2 linked regions of the Schizosaccharomyces pombe genome follow. The gene in region 1 interacts genetically with each later gene. Each region holds a gene or a part of one and is shown in the gene's direction. Other genes may lie near its edges.

Region 1 (9,231 bases):
TTGAGAATATAACTTTTCAATCACCTGTCTTACATGGTTTATCTAAAGCGATTCATTTACAAATCATCGTAATGAATTTAAGATCTACAATATTGCTAACTTTTGGCATTAAGATTGATCAACAATCTGCTTGTAAATAGGTGAATTGATCATGTAACTTGAAATTAAAATTTTCGATATAGGATAGCAAAACAACAACAGCACTGGTGGGATTGAGAAGTGATTGAAAATTTGACAAAATCCTTCAACGCTTTATGTTTTATTTTTCTTTTGGAAGAAACACTTTCCCATCATTCGTATTGTTATTATACAAACACTTTTTCTCCAGATACATTTGAGATTTAAGTCGAATTTACATCAATTTATACCACACCAGTCTCGTGATTTTAATTTTTAACGAGCCAAACTTATGAAAGTGTACTATATGCGTACTGTGCATAAGCGCTTCAAGTCATTGTTGCGCTTTTTTCTTATACATTATTCATCGATACTATATCACTTTCCTGTATTCTCATATGGTAGTTATAATTTCGTCTCCAAATCTTAACCAAAAGATCTATCATACTATTCTTTTACCCTGCTACTTTTCTCTATACTGATGCACAATGCTGATATAACCTCTACGTTGATCAATTCTTGATTTATTAAACGACATCGTATTAACTAAGGAATATTGTATAAACACATTTGTTTACTAATTCAAATGTTTCCTCGATCAGTTTTAGCTTCGTCAAATATGATTGTTGTTCCAAATCCACTCCCAACAATAGAAGTCTACTTTTCATTGCCAAGCATCGCTGATAATAATGTAAGCAACAACCGAAAGTATATCAATTAAGCTCATTTTTTAAAAAAAGTAACGTATCTTAACATGCTACTTTTAACTCAAGCGCTGCGCTAAAACGGTCACGCTTAAATATGCGACATGACAAAATTTTCCTAAAAGCAAAGTTTGCAACGTTTGTATTTGCTTGGTACTACAACCTTACTTACTTGCTTTTGTGTGTCTTTATTGTTATTTAGAAGTGAAAATGTCTGTTCAAGAACTTTCTCATCCTCTTATTAAAGATGGTTGGTTTCGTGAGATCAACAACATGTGGCCTGGTCAAGCCATGACCTTGAAGGTTAAAAAGGTTTTATATGCAGGAAAATCAAAGTATCAAGATGTTTTGGTCTTTGAGAGTGAAACTTATGGACATGTTTTGGTTTTGGATGGTGCTATTCAAGCCACTGAGCGCGACGAGTTTTCTTACCAAGAAATGATTGCTCATCTTGCTCTAAACAGTCACCCCAACCCAAAGAAAGTTCTCGTTATTGGTGGTGGTGATGGCGGTGTACTTCGTGAGGTGGTCAAACACGAATGTGTCGAAGAGGCTATCTTGTGCGATATTGATGAAGATGTCATTAAAGTCTCCAAGCAATACCTTCCTGAGATGTCCGCAGGTTTCAATCATCCCAAGGTTAAGGTACACATTGGTGACGGTTTTAAATTTTTGCAAGATTATCAAAATACTTTTGATGTGATTATTACAGACTCTTCCGATCCTGACGGTCCTGCCGAAGCCTTGTTCCAAAAACCTTACTTTCAACTTCTTTCCGATGCTCTTCGTGGAGGCGGTGTCATTACTACTCAAGCTGAGTGTATGTGGATTCATTTGGGTGTCATCAGCAATGTCTTGACTGCCGTTAAAACAGTTTTCCCCAATGTTCGTTACGCATACACTACTATCCCCACCTATCCCTCTGGATCTATCGGCTTCGTTGTAGCCTCCAAGGATGCTTCCATCGACCTTAGCAAGCCTCTTCGCAAGTGGTCTCCCGAAGAAGAGAATAAGCTTTGTAAGTACTATAACAGTGAAATTCATGCTGCTTCCTTTGTTCTTCCTACCTTTGCTCGTGATGTCGTTGACAAGGCTACCTCCTCTTAAGCAAACATTTTTATTTTTTTTGGCTAAAGTTTCATACGTCTTAATCAATGCAATCTTAAGTCAAAATGTATACTCTTTTTTCTTTGTTTTCACACTTCTGCTCTCTACTTTTTGTAAGTGAGATTACGTTCTCTTTCGGTAGTTGATATGCAAAAAAACCAGTGAAATACCAGCATAAGTAAATAATATTCCTTTAGTAATTGGTACCAAGAAACCTATGTATTAAATAATCTCTAAAAATCAACATGCTTTACATTTTAAGTGCATTCTTGACAACTTTTTCAAGCTCTTCGTAGTCATCTGTAGGCACTCGCGTGATGGGACGTTGGAAGTATTCTTGAATGGCGTTCATTTCTTCCCAACTCTTTTTATCGTGAACAAAATTGATACTTACTCCAACACGGCCGAACCTACCGGTACGACCTATACGGTGAAGATATGTTTGTGGATCGGGTCTTCCTGCTTGATCTAAAGGCATATCATAGTTTACAACCAAGTTGACTTGCGATACGTCGATACCCCGAGCAATTACATTCGTAGTAACCAAAACCTTTGAAGTACCTACTCGGAATGAATCCATAATAGCGTCACGTTGTGCACCTTCCAGATTACCGGTAAGACAAGCAACAGTGTGTCCATCTGCAGTCATACGCCTAGCAATTTCTTCAGCGGTATCCTTTTTCTTACAAAATATAATTGATTGACCAATAGTCAATAACCCATATAATTCCACTAAAACATTATATTTATGTTCTTCACTTTGGCAATCCATATACAACTGCTTGATTCCCTCAACAGAAAGCTCCTCAGTCTTCAGACGAATTTCATTAGCATTGGGAGCAAAACGTTCAGCGTACTTTTCAACGCGTTCCGAAAAGGTAGCACTGAAAAGAACAATCTGAGTGTTTCTAGGAAGAAGGTGCTTGATACGCATAGATTGATCTCCTAATCCTTGCTGATCTAACATGTTGTCTGCCTCATCTAACACGAATACTTTAATATCGCGAGCGTCAAGCTGTCTTCTCTTCATCAAATCCATCACAGTGCCAGGCGTTCCGATTACAATTTGAGCATCGATTTTTGCACCTTTAGGGACGGAGTCTTTAATACCAAAAGCTGTTTTTACTTCAGTATATTTGCCCATCTCCGTCACGACATCCATAATCTGACGGGCCAATTCACGAGAAGGAGCGAGGCAGATAGCTTGAGGTTTGGGAACAGAAGCATCAACACGAGAAAGCATCGTTAATGCAAATGCAGCGGTTTTACCAGTTCCGGATTGTGATTGTCCGATCATATTGCGAGGAGGATTTGAGAGTAAAAGTGGAAGCGCCTTCTCTTGAATTTTTGAGGGTTTTTGGAATTTCATTGAATAAATTCCCTTTAATAATTCGGGCTTGAGCTCCAACTCTTCAAAACTTTTAACAGAAAAAAGAGGTGAGTTTGGATCAGCCTGTAGATCTGCTAATTTTACACGAACCTCGTTTTTATTTGGTATTAAATTAGATTCATCATTTTCAGATTGCTTCGTATTGGCGTCCTCTGCAATCGTGTTGGTCGCTTTGTCTTGCTCAGATTTTGCATCAACATTCTCAGTGATTTTTGGACCTAATCTGTCACTTAAATTTGTTGCTTTTTGATCTTCATTTTTATTTTCTGAAGTATTTAACTGATTGACTTTATCACTAATTCTTTGAACCTCTTCATCAGAGTCCAAACTAGCCCAGTCAGTTTTGCTTTCCTGTCCCAGTGTAGTTGACATTTTGGATGTTTTTTAGTAAAAAAAATAAAAAAAATCAAATTTATAGTTCAGATATCCAAACTCAGCAAGGATGACTTAGCAAACTGGATGACAATTTCTGGTGGGCAATGTAGTTGGTGATTGCTAAGTTACTCCTTAAGTGAAAGTTGAACAATATAGGTTTCGATTCACCACCGTACTTCCTTTTCATCAACATTCGTAACGTAAAGCCAAAAATTGTCACAATTTCTTCCGTCAAACTTTCTTTTTAATTGTTTTATATCCGGTACAAATTTTTATTGCAGCGATATCAAACGTGTAGATAATACTGGATAATGAGCCTGGAAACATACAAATTTAGTGATGAACTTCACGTAAGGTGTTTTAGTTATTTGGCATATTTACTAATATATAAAAGGACGATTTTAAAGTTGTCGACAGTTGGGTATGCCAAGAATGAAAATGAAGACAGTTCAACAATTAACACATTGTAACAAAGATTAATAATGGCGCGAAATGGCTTGAAGATATTCAATTGTACTACAAAGAAAGAAGTTCTATTGGTAAATAAGAAACGACAATGGTTAAATTTCAATGACTAACTTTGTTGCTAGAAAAAGAATATGCTCAGAAATTAGCCAGTCTTTCGAATAAATATGGGGAGAAGAAATCCAGAAAATCATCAGCCCTTTCAGTCGGAGATACTCCGGCAATGTCTGCTGGCTCTTTAGAATGGTATGTAAAATATTGGAACCTGTCAAGCAATTGAAGTTAGATGGATATTGAATTCCTGTTCACAGGCTAATTTTATAGTGCTTCTTTAACAACATGGTCTAAAATTTTGGATGAGTTAACGCGCTCATCAAAAACTCATCAAAAGCTATCCGATGACTATTCATTGGACATTGCTGAAAAACTGAAGAAACTAGAGTCTCATATAGAGGCTTTAAGAAAAGTTTATGATGATTTATATAAAAAATTCTCATCCGAAAAGGAGACATTGTTAAACAGTGTGAAGAGAGCCAAGGTCAGTTACCATGAGGCCTGCGATGATTTAGAAAGCGCAAGGCAAAAAAACGATAAATATCGAGAGCAAAAAACTCAAAGAAATTTAAAATTATCTGAAAGTGATATGCTCGATAAGAAAAATAAATACCTACTTCGTATGCTTGTATACAACGCCCACAAGCAAAAGTTTTATAATGAAACTCTACCAACGCTCCTTAATCATATGCAAGTATTGAACGAATACAGGGTTTCGAATTTAAATGAAATATGGTGTAACAGCTTTTCAATTGAAAAGTCTCTCCATGATACCTTATCCCAAAGAACCGTTGAAATTCAATCAGAAATTGCAAAAAATGAACCAGTCCTTGATTCTGCCATGTTCGGAAGGCACAATTCAAAGAATTGGGCACTTCCTGCTGACTTGCATTTTGAACCTAGTCCTATCTGGCATGACACGGATGCACTGGTGGTGGATGGTTCATGTAAAAACTACCTCCGAAATTTACTGGTCCACTCCAAAAATGACCTTGGAAAACAGAAAGGCGAGCTTGTATCGTTAGATTCACAATTGGAAGGTTTACGCGTCGATGATCCAAATAGTGCTAACCAGTCATTTGAATCTAAAAAGGCTTCGATAAATCTAGAAGGGAAAGAGCTCATGGTAAAGGCCAGAATAGAAGATTTAGAGGTTCGTATCAACAAGATCACGTCAGTTGCGAATAATTTAGAAGAAGGAGGTCGTTTTCATGATTTCAAACATGTTAGTTTTAAACTTCCGACAAGTTGCAGTTACTGTCGTGAAATTATTTGGGGGTTATCGAAGCGTGGATGTGTTTGCAAAAGTACGAAATATTTGCTTTCTTTCGTTAACTAACAAAACACGTGTAGATTGTGGCTTCAAATGCCATGCAAGGTGTGAACTTCTTGTTCCCGCCAACTGCAAAAATGGTGAGCCCGAAGTGGCCGACGATGATGCTGTAGATACCAGTGTTACTGCCACTGATGATTTTGATGCTTCTGCGTCGTCTTCAAATGCCTATGAATCCTATCGTAACACATACACAGATGATATGGATTCAAGTAGTATTTATCAAACTTCCTTAAGCAACGTGAAAACAGAAGAAACAACGCCTGCTGAACCAGCGTCAAAGGTTGACGGTGTAGTTCTTTACGATTTTACCGGGGAACATGAAGGGGTAATCACAGCTTCTGAAGGACAGGAATTTACGCTACTTGAACCAGATGGTAAGTAAAGCTTGAAAAATCCCATTCTAATAGATCAATATAGATGGCTCTGGTTGGGTTCGAGTAAAAATCGATGGAACTGATGGCTTGATTCCAGCTTCTTATGTTAAATTGAATGATGAATTAAATACGAGTGTGACACTTGATGGAGATTCTTCTTATGTTAAGGCGTTATATGCATACACAGCTCAATCCGATATGGAATTATCAATCCAAGAGGGTGATATAATTCAGGTCACAAATCGAAACGCTGGAAACGGATGGTCTGAAGGGATACTTAATGGAGTGACCGGTCAATTCCCAGCTAAGTAAGTCTTTGTTTTTTTTTTTTATTCATTTCTCCATTTCTTTGCACAAAAACTAACATATGTCTTAGTTATGTTACAGATGTATAAACCATTGAAATATCTATATGAATATTATCTACTTCATTGTTGATAAATTTTACCTTCTTTATGTATTACGAAAAGCAAATTGTCAATAATAACTTACGATTTTTTATCCACTACAATGTAGTTGGTCGATACACCAAAGTATTTTTTTGCTAGATTGATCTTTTTTTTTTTGAATTTTAGATATTTATAATAACTATACTAAATGCTATGCCTAAGGAAAATTTTTTAAATTGAACTATGCTATATTTTTTTCGTTAGTAACCAAAATTTATGTTTACTGAAGAATACAGTTTCGCGTTACGAGAAAATTGATCAACAATTTTTTAACGAATACATACAAACACATTGTCATTACAACAGAGAGGAATCGAAGGATGTGATATGTCATCGTACATTTTCAAAAGTAATCTGCAAATTGAAACAAACATATAAACGACATGTGATATTGGAACTAAGTCTAAAAACATTCCCGATAACGAAGGGAAAACTTTCATGAAAGGTAACGAAAAAGAGAAAAAAGCCAAAATGGTGAAAATATAAGGAAAAAAAAGTTGTGTGTTCAATTCTTCTATACTTTAATTATTCGTAATGATCTTCGTCAACTCGTATGTCTTAGCGCCGTCGTCAAACTTGGACAAAATGCGGCTAGGAGGATATCTGCCCTGGACAACACCCAAGAAAGCATCAAATTCATTATAATAGGGATCATCTTCGGGGAAATTAATAATGCGTTCGCTATCAGCCTCAGGAGAACGAATGTAAAGTCTGGGTTGACCGTAAAAGTCAACCATACGAACATAATGACCATCTGCTTGAAGCTCTAGACAAGTGTCATAATTCGTTCCTTGTAAAATGATACTATGAGCGAGAATACCAACTGCACCCGACTTATATTTCCATGATGCAGCGGTGAAACGGGGGATGCGCTCCTCTTTGGGAATGGACTCCTCGTCAACAGGAACCTTAGCTAATTTTCCACAAGGGTCGTACCAGTTTACACGGTTTACCTTGACGGTAGAAGTATCGACATCACCACCGAAATAGATGGACAAATCACAGAAATGTGTAGCTTGCTCAACGACGGGACCACCAGACTTTGACATGTACCACCAGAAAAGTTTGTTATTATGTTCGTAAGCAGAGTTATATCTTGCAATGGTACAAGCGATGTTCAAGTTATTATCGGCAACGTATTTCTTGGCGGCTTGAACGATCTTTAAATAACGGAACATATAACCAATTGAAATGATAGCATGGTATTTCTCCAATTCATGTACGAGGTTAAAAGCACCTTGGACAGGAGCACTAGTAATAGGCTTCTCGATAAATAGAGCAGCATTGGGGTATTTTCTTAAAATTTCCAACTCCATGTCCATACCCGGAGTTGTGCAGCCATGGAAATCAGGAGGAATGCCAATGAGATAAGCAGAAGGGACATCCTCAGGATGGGAATCCAAGTATTCCAAGTACTCAGTTACAGAGACATACGTCTTGGTGTTTTCATAAGCGAAAGCAACGTCAGATGCACATTTAGACTTCAAAACACGCTCGCTTTCGTTAATTAAGGGGTTGATGAGAGCAGTTACTCGAAGTGATTTTCCTAACACCTTTTCAACTCTCTGGGCATTGTTCCAAGGTCCCTCGGGGGTACCAAAGTTAATGCCACCGGCGCCAACAATAGCGATCTTGAAGATCCCACCAGAAGAAGAGTTGGTTGATAGAGCAGTCATTGAATCAAACAAAGCAATATAAAAACAAGTTCAGAAAATAACAAAGATAAACAACAGGCTCAACCTATGTGAATGGTTGTGCAAAAAGACCGAGTTGATCAACAATGAATACGAGAAAATGAATGAGTAAAAGGAAAAAGGAAAACAGCTATGAGAATTCCAAATTGAGGATTCTTTGTTTTTTTTTTCCTAATTGAACTTATCGTATGGTATGGGTAAAAGACAGGTTTATAAAATATGATATTTCCTACGCTTATATATTTTCTTTTAGCGCTAACGTAAGGAGCTCTTCCAAACCATTACGTATTCGGATTAACTTGCATGTTGTAAATAAACAAATACAACAAACCGAATATTAAGGAACGTTCTCACTTTAGCTATGTACTGTATAAGATGGACGGAGATGAAAGAGTTCAAGGATATAAAAGTAAAACTAGTAGTTCTAGGAGCGACAAAAGAACGAAATTTTGACATCTCGACCGAGCCATTTTTAACATGCCATTTAAGATTTCACTTTACAAAATTTAAGCAACGATCTTTACAGATCCGGCAAAACAAGGAAGTGTATTTTGCAAGGATAAGTTAACCTAGATAATTACAGCGTAGAGAGAGTAAAAACATAAAAAGGAGAAAATTTTTTCAACGTGCTGATTTCGCTAGCAATAGCCATTTGGAAAATTTGGACCCTACTTACGTTCAATTTATGTAATATTGAGGCAATGAATAGAAAGAAGAATCGAAGAGAACGAATAAGGCAAAGTAGCGAAGTTCGGTAATGTCTAAGGATAATACATAAAGTTAAATAAGATATACTACCGTAATGTAACACTAATGCAATGGAATGAAAAATACCGTAAAGATTGTAACGATGTGTAATTTTTAGAATAGTGTATCCGTGCAGTTTTTTAAAATAGTGTGTTTGTTACAAAATATCATGCTAAATTTAAATAATGAGAATGGGGAAACCAGAACGAGTTTTATTTTTAAACCTGTTAAGGAACGCCACCGCTAGGGAGTGTCTGGTGTCTTGATTACCCACCCCCAATATGTAATTTCATAAGTAATGGCAAAGTGAAGTATAGCGTAGTACACTGCAAAGATGACTCGGACTCCGTGGATTCAAAAGACACCTAGGAAAGAAGAAGCTAGAGGAGCTCCATTTGCTTCATGGAGGAAGATCAATC
Region 2 (6,306 bases), 1.0 Mb from region 1:
TTTAAAAGATGGTTTCTTTTGGGATTCAATTGATAGTAAAATCCGTACGATGTGTTTAGAACAATCTTTGTCAGCCTGTGCGATAATGAAGCGGGTCTATTTTAGACATTTTAATCTTCGTGAAAGATGGCTCCATGCCCCGGAGAAAATTAAGCGATGTTCATTCCCAATTCATGGAGTTCGTCTTATTACCAAACTTCAGTTTGATGATGACAAAATAATTGTTAGCACCTGCAGTCCTAGAATTAATATATATGACACGAAAACAGGTGTCCTGATACGCAGTTTAGAAGAGCATGAAGGTGATGTTTGGACTTTTGAATACGTTGGGGATACTTTGGTTACTGGCTCCACAGACAGGACAGTAAGAGTCTGGGACCTTAGAACCGGTGAATGTAAACAGGTGTTTTATGGACACACGTCAACAATCCGTTGTATCAAAATAGTTCAAGGCAATCAAAGTACTACTGATACTGATGATGTGGAAAAAGAAAACAGACCAGCTTCAAATGATGCTAATTCAATGCCTCCGTATATAATTTCAAGTTCAAGGGATTGTACGATCCGTTTATGGAGTCTTCCATGCCTTGACGATCCACCATTTGTTAATGTAAATGAAAATCCTGATCAGAATAATGACTTTACTTCAGCTACGACCAATCCGTTTTACATCCGAACATTACGTGGTCATACGGACTCGGTACGTGAAGTTGCTTGTCTTGGAGATTTGATTGTCAGTGCCAGTTATGATGGTACTCTTAGAGTATGGAAGGCATCTACTGGCGTTTGTTTACATGTTCTTCGGGGACACGTCGGGAGAGTATACAGTGTCACAATTAATCCTTCTCGTCAACAATGTATCAGCGCTGGTACGGATGCTAAAATTCGTATTTGGAACCTTGAGTCTGGAGAACTTCTACAGACCCTTCATGGTCATTCGAATTTGGTAAGTCAAGTTACATTTAACCAAAATATCTTGGTATCCGCTTCTGCTCCTCCTGATACATCGTTGAGAGTTTGGGATCTAAACACCGGAAGTTGTCGAGATATTTTAAAATGTCCTTTGGGACACATATTTTTTCAACACGACGAGAGCAAAGTTGTCAGTGGAAGCCATAGTACGCTACAGTTATGGGACATTCGTTCCGGAAAGTTAGTAAGAGACCTATTGACTGATTTGGATATAATCTGGCAAGTTGCTTATAATGAAAATGTATGTGTGGCTGCTGTTTTAAGAAATAACCGTTTTTGGATCGAGGTCCTAGAGTTTGGATCTACTAAATCTTCTTGAGCTTTTATAAGTTGAGATACTAGAAATCTATAAAAGATCTCGAAATTTTATTTTACGTTTCCAAACTGAAATAGATTCATGCTATTTATTCTGGAAACTCCTCTATCATATAATATTTGTCTAATTGTTTGTTGACTTTTAAATGTTTACTCATAATTTTCTTTTTTAAATATCTAATAAGAATGCAAAATAATATTTTTTTAAATGATCTATTCTACATTTATAAATTATTTAGTGTTAAATTCGTTTGTTGAGGCCAAAATTTTTTTACCAAAGGGATAAGCGAATTTCTTGAATCCTTAGCTTCAAATAGCGTCCATTCTACCCAAAAGCGTACTATATTTTTATAATTAGCAAACTATAGTAAATAAAAAAACAAACATTTTAGCTTTGTAAATGTAAAAAGACATTTAATTTAACAAAAGGCTTTTACATTACTTCATAAGCTACCAAATGTCTTCATCGTAAAACATGCTTTTCGCATTCCATTTATCTATGTAAGCCATTTTAGTGTAGTTTAAAGTGTTGGAAAACCACAGGTGGGACTGTAATATACGTACACTTAAGACGCGTTCGACGCGTTCACAAAATTACCATATATAGATATCAACTTATCAAATACCCTTTACTTCTAAGTATAAATGACAAATGAATTCATACAAAGAGGAAATTCTGCAAACTAAGTCTGACTTTACTCTTAAAAATTTAATTTTCTTCGCGATATCAACATTATGCTATAAGCGGTACGCAGACATATAATTTTTAAATTAAAATAGCTAACAGAAGGCAAGTGCTCTTTTCAATGAAAACTGCTACAAGAAAGTCAATTTCGAAATTGAACATTTTAAAGGAGCTGACTTTGATTGTCAATTGAAACCTACTGTGGTTTCTTTACAAGCTGGAGTGGACAAAGAAGCAGACAGTTTTTTGGAAATGATGGTGAGTGTTTAAAACTTATCTAAAGAAATAAACTAATATTTTAGAAAACTTATATTTTCTCACTTGTATCAATGAAAGTTCCATTTACTGTTTACCTGATTATTTCGTCACAATGCAAGTCAATATTAGAGGATGACGCGGTTGAAAAGGAGATATTTTCATTTACAATTAACCCTGGAAGTGAAGAGAAAATATGTTGTGAGTCTTTTGTTTGTAAATTTTTTAACAGACTTCATGAGAGTTTTATCAAGCTTATCAACGTTCAGAAAGGTTTGTAATAAAGTTATTTTTAAGTGGTAACGTAAAAACAGAGTGCAAAGACGAAGAAAAAGTCGTACAAATTATTACAAAAATGGAACGCTTTCAATTATCAAAAGGAGAAGCAACTAAAGCTGGCGTGTTTTTAAATACCGTAGAAACAAAAGATTGCATGTCTTGGCTCAATCGAGGAGAATTCAAAGATATTGTATCTTTTTATGAATCAAACAATGGGTAAGTAAATTAAAACAAATTTCAAGTTACTAATCTATAGTATTGCGATTTCACATTGTTCTCATGCATTTGTACCGATAAGTACAGAGAAGATCATGATTAATAAAGAATCATCATTATTTGATTCTCAAGAAAAAATTGATTCTCAGCTCGAAAAGTTCCTCCAGCCTTTGAAATACGATGAAATAGGCTCAACTCAAATATTGGATGAACAATCAGTTGAAAAAAGTTTGAGTCAAGGAAAATGTGAGAAAATGCAGAATGAAAGTCGTGGATTAAGGGAAATAAAAAATAACAATCCTTGTGAAGAAGTAAAGAAAAGCAATTGGTTAAAAAAAAACATTTCAGGGAGTGACAAAGTTGACAAAGCCGAAAAGAAAAAAGCACTTTTGAATTGTGAATGCGGTGATTCGACGGAAGACTCAGAAATGGTGTGTAATCGTTTATACCTGCTAAAGACTAACAATATTTTACACAGTTTCAATGCGAAAGATGTGATGGATGGGTTCACTGTGCTTGCTATGGATTTGAGAGTGACTCTGATCCTCGCCAACCAAACCAATTGTTATGTTATACATGTTTGTTAGTTGATTCTGAATCTAGTTTGTATGACCGAATGACCATGTTGGTCGCATACAGACGAGCAATTCGGTGTATTTGGGCGTCAGAGTATCAAGGGTTCCAAAAGCTAGCGGCGCGACTGAGTAAGGAAATTTACCAACTCATTGACCATATACTAACATTATCTAAGATTGCAGCTATGCTGATGCCAAAAGAATTGAAGAAAGATTAGTTAACGAAAACATAATCTATAAGGAAAAAAAACGAAAATGGATATATTTTACGAATAAAAGCCCTGAAATGGTGTCATATCTTCGTGAGAAGTATTTTACACCGTCGCGATGGATATCTCATCTGAATTTTCAAAATTATCGTCAAGAGAATCAACGTGTAAATATGCGATCTTTTCTACGGCCCGAAAGAATGGAAGTAATAGAAAGACCAAAAAAGGTTTCTAAGACTTCAAACACTAAAGAGACAGACACCATGAAACCTCTGAGGATTTAAACTTATACGACTTATCCTATCTTCAAACAATTTGAGATGGATCAGTATTGCATCTATTTGCTCAAACTATTAATTTAAACTTACATAATATATTTATTATTAGCTATACTACATTATTACCATAAATAACATGTTCTGTTATCATCCGTTAGATATGAGACAATATTCATACAAACTCATTTTCTTGTCGTAGATAACTATGCTTACGACATTATAAATAGGCGGTAATTGAAATGAGGAATGAGGTTCAGTTATGAGCTTATACGAACATGAGATATGAATATAGACTTCATACAAGAATCATGCATACCACTATAAACTAGATCACAAGTAAATTTTATCGCAGTTCTACGCAGCGCTAAACGAATACGAAATTGCGTAGCTAATTTAAGCACTTCTTGAATTGCATTATGTGTGAATAGTGTGGTGATTTGATGTCAAAAAAAAAAAGTATAGAACGTTACACATTAGACTTGAACTTTTCCATTTGATACTGAAGTTACATTATTGCTGTGTTCGTGAGAACTTTGCATTATTCAGGAGAATTTTCGTTTTAAACATGGCGACAGAATGTCCACCTAAAATGATTTTGCGAAAGTCTGAAAAGCTAGACAAAGACGCGTCTAGTAAATTTCTCAATCGCTACATCCAAACGATTGAGCGCTTCCAAGATGAAAAATCTGGAAGTGAGAGTGTTCTATCCCAGTTAAATAGAGTCTTGATGTACCTGAAAGGAGAAGAGATACCGCTTATTTCTTTAAATTTACCTGTCCAAGGCCCTCCCACAGAGGAATTAATAATACCACCTGAAGAAATGTTGGAAACCAAGGAAGAGGAAAGTCTGAAACATGCAAGGGAAGAGAACGATGATTTGCATTTGGATAAAGAAACCAAAAAGCGTCTAAAAAAGGAAAAAAAGAAGGCTGCGAGACGGGAAAAGGAAGAGGCTCGTAAGGCCAAAGCGGATACGACTCAAGGTGTAGGGGAAAAAGAACAGAGTTAGAGTAAATTTAAAGGTGTGTTGATTATTTGTGGTTCAGTTATTTTGTTCGATTTCTAAAACATCATATGAGCTTTCGAATATAGTTTGCGCTTCATTAAAAAAATTGGGTTTTTTGGCTGCGATTATTTATTAAATCTTTTAAACGTGAGAGAAAAAATCCTAAGGTTTTTTTTGATCATGTGTTTGAGGACAACTACAATGCAACTTTTTTACTCGCAGTACTTGAGTTTGCATATTTTGTAAGTCCTTATCCATTCATTCTCAGTTGCAAGTATCAGATTATGCTTAAAGATTTTAAATTCATCATTAAATTCTTGTTTATCCCATAGTTTAATTGATTTTTTTTTTAATATAGGCTTTATTGTCGAAATTGTTGTCACAAATAATTGTTAAATAACAATTTAACAAAGATCATGGCGAGATCAATTACTAAACTCAATCTTTCAAATCAATACTCTGTGAATCCTAATATACTATTTCTTTCACATCACATCTTTAATGTTTCTACTAATACTGATTTATGTCGATTGATATTAACATGTATATCTTAGTGACTTATAACTATCTAATGAAACAACGCGTTGCCTTATACAACTTCAGCGTACTATATAGTGAGACCTACTTTTTTACGTAGACCTTATTAGAATTACCCAGGAGGCCCCTCCCAAACACTCACGATTATTTTACTAGTATCGTTTAATCTTACTTGAAACCCTGAAGACGGGTTCGTTCACTCAATTATAATGCAACATACCTTTATTTATGATACGTGCTTATGGATTTTATCAAGTAAGTTACTTATCATTTAGTTACAACCGGAACGCTAATTAATGAACCCCAGTTTTAATCGATTTCTTTTTCCGTGAAGTTAAAACGCGAGGCTCTTTTAGAGTTCCTCGCAAGGGACCTCTAATTTTAGTGGCCGCGCCGCATGCGAACCAATTCGTAGATCCTTTGATTTTGATGTTACAACTTCGTAGAGAAGTAGGTAGGAGGACTTCCATTTTGGTTGCTGCTAAAAGTTATCGTCAAAGATTTATTGGCCTCATGTCGAGAGCTTTTGGTGCAATTCCTGTCGAAAGGGCGCAAGATTTAGCTATTCGCGGAGAAGGAAAGATATTTGTCGTAGCTGAAGGTGATAAGACTGCTATTCACGGAAAAGATACTCTGTTTACAAAGCATTCAGTCGGTGATACTCTCCTTCTTCCTAATAATTATGGAAGTTCTCATATAGCATCCATTAAAAGTGATACCTTATTATATGTTAAACGTGAGTTTCGTGGAGAAGATGCTGAGAGAGTTTTGCTTTCTCCCGAAGGGTCGTCTTACAAGGTGGCTCCTGAGATTGATCAAACATATGTTTATAATGAAGTCCGTAGACGTCTGGTGAAGGGTGCATGCATTGCTCTATTCCCTGAAGGTGGATCTCACGATCGTCCTGAAATGCTACCGCTTAAAGCTGGCGTTGCAATTATGGCGTTGGAAACTCTTTCTCAGCATCCGGATTGTGGTC

The links.
Region 2: mutations in bzz1 (region 1) and hop1 together harm fitness more than expected from each alone (negative genetic interaction), as found in Schizosaccharomyces pombe (2 studies listed by BioGRID).

What each region holds. Positions count from the first base shown.
Region 1 is NC_003423.3:2,462,169-2,471,399, forward strand, and holds bzz1 (diacylglycerol-binding protein Bzz1), read left to right. Parts: upstream 1-3,859; 5' UTR 3,860-4,004; coding exon 4,005-4,043; exon of another isoform or gene 4,044-4,087; coding exon 4,088-4,114; exon of another isoform or gene 4,115-4,168; coding exon 4,169-4,232; exon of another isoform or gene 4,233-4,283; coding exon 4,284-4,404; exon of another isoform or gene 4,405-4,482; coding exon 4,483-5,519; exon of another isoform or gene 5,520-5,565; coding exon 5,566-5,922; intron 5,923-5,965; coding exon 5,966-6,230; intron 6,231-6,298; coding exon 6,299-6,317; 3' UTR 6,318-6,571; downstream 6,572-9,231. Other genes in the region: srm1 (spermidine synthase), read left to right, coding at 1,032-1,928; ATP-dependent RNA helicase Dbp5, read right to left, coding at 2,179-3,690; SPOM_SPBC12C2.04 (NAD-binding dehydrogenase family protein), read right to left, coding at 6,893-8,047. UniProt on the Schizosaccharomyces pombe protein: Plays a role in endocytosis and trafficking to the vacuole. Functions with type I myosins to restore polarity of the actin cytoskeleton after NaCl stress.
Region 2 is NC_003423.3:3,470,380-3,476,685, forward strand, and holds hop1 (synaptonemal complex-associated protein hop1), read left to right. Parts: upstream 1-1,939; coding exon 1,940-2,034; exon of another isoform or gene 2,035-2,082; coding exon 2,083-2,230; exon of another isoform or gene 2,231-2,274; coding exon 2,275-2,443; exon of another isoform or gene 2,444-2,481; coding exon 2,482-2,722; exon of another isoform or gene 2,723-2,762; coding exon 2,763-3,153; exon of another isoform or gene 3,154-3,200; coding exon 3,201-3,426; exon of another isoform or gene 3,427-3,473; coding exon 3,474-3,790; downstream 3,791-6,306. Other genes in the region: cullin 1 adaptor protein Pop1, read left to right, coding at 1-1,291; DNA-directed RNA polymerase I complex subunit Ker1, read left to right, coding at 4,350-4,793; sct1 (glycerol-3-phosphate O-acyltransferase), read left to right, coding at 5,537-5,582, 5,635-6,306. UniProt on the Schizosaccharomyces pombe protein: Facilitates initiation of meiotic recombination and DNA double-strand break (DSB) formation at DSB hotspot sites by enhancing the interaction between rec10 and rec15.